Kluyveromyces lactis: one gene and its partner. The protein of the gene in region 1 purifies or fractionates together with the protein of each later gene. This does not show direct contact. Links are inferred from orthologs where the notes say so. Each region holds a gene or a part of one and is shown in the gene's direction. Other genes may lie near its edges. The genes, in order: UBX3 and DSC2.

The links.
Region 2: the proteins of UBX3 (region 1) and DSC2 purify together in Saccharomyces cerevisiae (affinity purification with western blotting; 5 studies listed by BioGRID, with this or other methods). This does not show direct contact. The link is inferred for Kluyveromyces lactis from reciprocal best matches to the Saccharomyces cerevisiae genes UBX3 and DSC2.

Annotation. Positions count from the first base shown.
Region 1 is NC_006042.1:680,491-683,751, reverse strand, and holds UBX3 (clathrin-mediated endocytosis regulator UBX3), read left to right. Parts: upstream 1-1,350; coding exon 1,351-2,589; downstream 2,590-3,261. Other genes in the region: RAM1 (protein farnesyltransferase), read left to right, coding at 1-966; RNA-binding signal recognition particle subunit SRP14, read right to left, coding at 2,708-3,163.
Region 2 is NC_006039.1:413,673-416,760, reverse strand, and holds DSC2 (Dsc2p), read left to right. Parts: upstream 1-1,649; coding exon 1,650-2,486; downstream 2,487-3,088. Other genes in the region: PEX8 (Pex8p), read right to left, coding at 1-1,299; tubulin-binding prefolding complex subunit PAC10, read right to left, coding at 2,581-3,088.

The DNA of each region.
Region 1 (3,261 bases):
TTGTACTGGATTGGCAATGCCTTCAAAACAATGAATCCCACTTGGCTTACGAACGATTATCAGAAGCGTATTTTGGACAAGCTATGGTATATATCACCTACAGGTGGTCCCTTCAGCGGCGGAAAGCATCAACTACCACATCTAGCGGCCACATACGCTGCTATAAATTCCATCGCTCTATGTCACAATCTCGATGATAACAGAGAAATCAATAAAAAGGCTATATACGACTGGCTCATTTCTCTTAAAACACCTAGCGGCGCGTTCATGACTGCACGCCCAGTCGGCGAACAAGATGTGAGAGGCGTATACACTGCATTATCTATAGCGTCACTACTAGGCATTGTGGACTCTAAACTAACAAGTAATGTGACGGAATTCTTGACAAGATGCCAATCTTACGAGGGTGGTTTCGGAGGCTGCCCAAATGATGAAGCACATGGTGGCTACACTTTTTGTGCAGTAGCCAGCTTGGCAATGTTGAATGCCTTAGATAAGGTCAATATCGATGCGTTATTGTCATGGTGTAGTTCTCGTCAAACTAAAGAGGAGAAAGGTTTAAACGGAAGAAGCAATAAACTTACAGATGGTTGCTACAGTTTTTGGGTTGGCGGAACTGCTGCAATCTTAGAAGCATACGGGTATGGAGTATGCATAGATAAAGACGCCCTAAAACAATATATATTGAAATGCTGTCAATCGGAAGAAAGCCCTGGCCTAAGAGATAAACCGGGAACACAAGCGGACTTTTATCATACCAATTATGTGTTGGCTGGTTTATCAATTTGCGAACATTCTTTTATGGTCCGAAACAATTCACCCTTCGATTTTGTTGCAACTCCACTTGTGCCAGAACCGGAAGTTGAGCCTATTCATCCCATATTCGGACTGGCTATCCTTGACGTTAACAATTTCATTAATAGACGCGGAGAACCATCCATGTCTAATCTGTCAATGAAAGTGTAATGAATTCACGATTAACTCTGATGGCATGTGTAATACTATAAAACTATATACTCATTATGATACCTAAATTAACATGACTCCATAGGTGAAGAAAATAACTTTCGGAATATAATAAAATTGAGAGTAGCAATCATCGGGAATTATACTCTAACTATTAAATGCCTTAGTTGTACTATTTAGCCGTGGCGCTTTTCTTTGTGAATTTCCACTCACGATGATCTATCATTGTCTGTCCATTAAATTTGACATTTAAAAAACAATATCAGACATCCTTTAAAAGTTGTCAATGGTATCCATAGGGTAAATCTTCAGTAGAAGAAGAGAAAGCTTCACCTATATTAGAGGCTGTACTCTTCTATAGAAACGAATCTGCAACTGTTGAACATGGTATTCAACATTTTCAGTAGGCCGTCTCAGCAGAACCAACCTGCAGTGAGTTTTACCCCTCTCCCAGGATCATTCCCTGAAGACAATGATAATACAGAACAACCTGAACAGGAAACAATACTGAATGCTGGCGTTCCTAGAATATTAAAAATGTGCTTATACATTCCACTAACATTACTATATTACTTGCTCAATATCCTGTTAACTTCGGTGGAAGTTTTCAAACCAATAGGCAAGATCTTTCATTTCTACACAAGAAAAGACAATCATTTCAGCGATGATTTGGGTAACCAATTCGTAAATGTTATAGATGTCCTTTCTTCATCAGCCGATACCAACGAACAGAGTGGTTATACATTCGATACGTTGTACAATGTAGAGAATGGAATGTTGAGCAAAAATATGATTAAGGGTGGTTACACTGATATCTTACGTCGGTGTTCCAGCGATGGTAAATTTGCAATAATATCTTTCTTCAATCCGATACTATACGATCCATTCGAGTACGTAAGAAAGATTTTAACTTCCAACGAGTTTGTAGAATGTGTCACCAAATATAATTGCGTTGTATGGTTTTGCGATGTTACAACACCACAAGGGCTACAGACTGCTAATTCTTTAAAGATTAGACAGTTTCCATTTTTAGGTGCCCTTGGACCCCAACGGAATAATAAAATGAAATTGCTTGCCAGAGTGGAGGGCCAACTATTTGATTATGATTTCTCTCATTTTGAGGCCAAATTAGCCTCATATTATTCAGTATTAGTTGAGATTAGAAGGCAAAGACAGTACCAGGAAATGCAACGGTTATTAAGAGAACAACAAGATTCGAGATACCAAGAATCGCTAGAAAGGGACCAGGAAAGGGATAGGGTAATCGAGGAAAGCCAACTTAAAAAGAAATGGTTGGCTTGGAGAAAATCTGTACTAGTGCCAGAACCATCGGGTGACGGTTGCAGAGTAAGCATCAGACTAGAAAATGAAAGAATTATTAGAAGATTTGATGCTTCATTAACAATTGAGGAGATTTACGCATACGTTGCATTATACAGAGCAGGTTTATTATCTGACACTAGCAGCGAGAATGATATTACACAAGAAAAACCAAATTACGAGTATCAGTATGACTTTCAACTATATTCACCTGTGCCCAGAACCCGTTTGGAGCCAACCACAGTGATCAAGGAAGAACGGACAATTTATCCATCGGGAACAATTGTCGTGGAGTTCGAATGAAAACCAAATTACTGGTTTGCAGTTTGACATCTATATATGTATATATAACATGTACTTTATAATGCTACACGATTGCGGATTTATGATTCATGGGTGATAATAGGTTGGGAATATTTCATCAGTTTTTCTTACCACCCTTCTTCTTCTTCTTCTTTTTAATTAATCCAGACATACTTGTTTTTACAACATTAACATAATCCTTCCAAAATTTATCAAGAGTCTTTGAATCTACCAAAGTGAAGAATTTCGTTCGTTTCCCATCATATGGCATGCTCACTAGCACGATAAGTCTGTATGGTTTTGTATCTGGTTGAGCGTTTTGTTTTAAACGTTTGGATTCTGACATCTTTGAGATATCACCAGTAGGATTGGAAGTAACATCCAATTCATTAGGTTTTTGAACGTGATGACTGCCCAAGTCTCTTTTCAAGCTTACTTTGAGCTGATTGTGCGATACCTTGGACATTCTGAAAGCTTTTTCAAGCTTAACAAAAAATTCGTCATGAGACAAAGGTTTCTTTATGAAATCTGGCGTTTCCTTAAGCCCACTAGCGGTTCCATCTTTGTCTGACATAATGGGAAGTTACCTGTATATTCTGGTGACTTGGATAAGTGATGATATTGAACCTTTTTCTTTGGACATCTTTACCATATTCTGCCTGTCGAAGGTTG
Region 2 (3,088 bases), on another chromosome or scaffold:
TAAGTATAGCCTCAATCTTTTGAGTTTAAAGTTTGTGACATCTGCTTTCCAGGTTTCATTATTAAACACTTCAAGCCATACAAGATGTGCGCTTTCCCGAAGTTTAACATCGGAAGAATCGAGGTATGGTCGAACAAGAGGTTCAATTCTTTCTTCAAGATAGCATGCGTCAGGTATCTTCAATTCTGCCAAATTGAGTTGCAAATACTCCAAGATGAACATCAGCTTGGAGTGATAAATCTTATTATCCATATTAAATTGCATTTTAGAAATCATTTCTTTTAGTATCTGATCGAAGATATCGAAGTCCTGACAAATCCTGCCACATACGGAATATATGAGCTCCTGATATTTGGTAAATCCATCTAGTCCAAAGTCTTGTAAAATAAAACTTGTATAGAATAACGTCATCGTAATCTCATGCACGACTTCTGCTGAAGGTTTATACCCAGATAGTAGAATAACCACAATAAAGAGAATGTTGATGTAGTATTTATCTGTGTATTTTTTCCTACCAGTCAGTGTTTCTTTGTCAGATAAAGCACCCATGATTCTGCATAATTCCTCCAATTTACTCCTGAGCAGCCTTCGATTGTGTGTGTTAGATATGCTATGTTCACAAGTTTGACAAATCAAGTTCAAATGTTTGTAAGCGAACGCATTTGGTCCATGGTACTCTGTATCGCCGTTATTAATGTATGTCATTAGAATGTTGAAAAGACTTTGGAATAACAGCTCATTTGACGCAACATAATCGGACTGCATATGAACCATGGAATAAAGTATACATAAATCGTCAATCAACCGATGGTCACCTTTGGATATATTCATATACTGATTCCAATACGGCATGAAATGACGAAATTTAATATCTTTCAACTCCTCACTTGCTGTTCCTGAATCATCAATAAACAATTGCTCCTGCAAAACCTCAAGCTGCTGCCTGCAACTGATAAGACCAGCTAAAGTTGCAAGCTGGAAAATGTTGAGTGCAGAACATGATTCGAGTTCCTGTTTCCAAAGCGAAACGAATTTATGGATGCTCAAACGCGGTTCCGAGATCTCTAACTTCCATTTCATAACGGCAGACGATGCTTCAAATACTTGCCAGATGGTAAGCTTCTGTGGCTTCCAGTGGAACGAGGCATGTATTAGCTGAGCCAAGAGTTGATAATCTCGGATACGTGGCAAGTAGTAGACAATATTGTTAAGAACTTGCGACTCACCAACGGTCGAGGAAATCACCGATGAACCGTTTAACGCAGTTATCAAGTGGTTAATAGACTCCGTTTCTATCATCGAACTGTTCAGAAGGATAGCAGGCAAAGTACTCACACGACTTATTTCTCTAGCGTACCTGAAGTTTATGGCAATTGCCTTCCCTATTTGCTCGTAATGGTATCTAGGTATTCTTCTTGATATGAATGCATATAGTTTCACTGTTCAATCGTAATATTTCAATATCAAAATGAAAGACTTAAACTTTTTACCTTAAATAATTATAATCTTACAGGTAAAGAATAGAGACGAGCTTGAAGCGCAGATATTCTGGTATCGAATGAAACAATAGTCTCCCCGAACTAATTCTCGAACAATACATTTCGAGGGAAAGATCACTTGGCAGAACGCTGCTAGAAATTTTAACCAAAATGCCGTCAACAAATAGTGTAGGTGTGGAAATACCAACTGGATTGGTTCAATTCCCAATAACAAAGATACTGATGATTTGTTGTGTAGGGGTTGCCCTAACAGCATCATTATTCAATATGAAGTATCTGTTCCTTTTACAATATGACCCATTTATCGTTGAATATGGACAATATTGGAGGTATTTTACGTTTCAGTTAGGGAGTTTAAATGAAAGCGATGTTGCCATAATGACCTTGATTTGGTATCAGTTTAGATCGTTAGAGAGGCTATTTGGATCAAGGAAGTACCTTAATATCGTGATATTATCATGGGCTTATACAACAGTGGTAATATTTTTGATTTCGAATCTACTTAACAAGCTTTTGCCTGGAATTTGGTGGGATCAATACACAAATGGCCCACTACCAGTAATATTGTGTTTGACTCATTTCTACAAACAGTATACACCAAGGTTATACGAATTCAATATAATAATCAACCAACCTTTTCTTCTTCATTCTAACACGATCGTTTGGAAGCTGACAGATCAATTTTTCATCCATGGCCTGTTATTCCTTGCCATGGTAAATCAAGGCGCAACAGGGTTGGTAATCGGACTAATAAGTTGGATTTGTGCTATCTTGATGGATAATGGGCTACTACCAGGTACTGACTCCTTCCAATTGGCGCCTTTCAAAGACAGCTGGAACAGAAGTTCTAGCACATTAAACAGACCAAGCGCAGTTATGACAAACGATATGACATCGGAAGATCTAAATGAGGAAGAGGCCGAAGAACCTCAAGATGAACCTCAGCGCACTTTAGGGGTCCAGTTCTTGGATACTTTTAGAAGGTGAAACACTTTTTGTAGATAATGATAATATTTAAATCTATCAATGCGTTGATTCAATTACATGGTGTATATACATAAATAGGATTTAAAGAAACAGTTCAACCAGAAGAGCCTTCCTTTTTCATCTGCTGCCTCCTTTGAACATCCCAATTGTATAATCTAGCACAATTGACCTCCATAGTCGTGATATTCTCTCTTAGGAACTCCACATCTTGCTGAGATATGTCCAGATTTTGCTTGGCATCTGCTAGCTTTTGAGCTAAAAGCTCAATTGCCTCATCTAGAGGATACTCGAGCATCACATCGGCACCTAACCATAACCCGACCTTTAATTCAGGATCCTTCGGATTGACTGACGCCTTACTAAAAAGCGTTTCATTTAGCTGATAGTTGATCAGCAAGCTGTCATCTTCCTCCTCATCGTCTTCGTCAACCTCTGTCTCTCTCTTTTGCTTCAAAAGCGCACACATATTGAGAGTATTTTCAATATCTGGAATCTTGCTTTTAAGCTGTTTTATGTTTGCTAGTTTAGACTCTTGCATGTACTTATATTTGGATAGATGTTCTTGGAACTTGCTGAAGCACATATCGAAATCCTCAGGACTC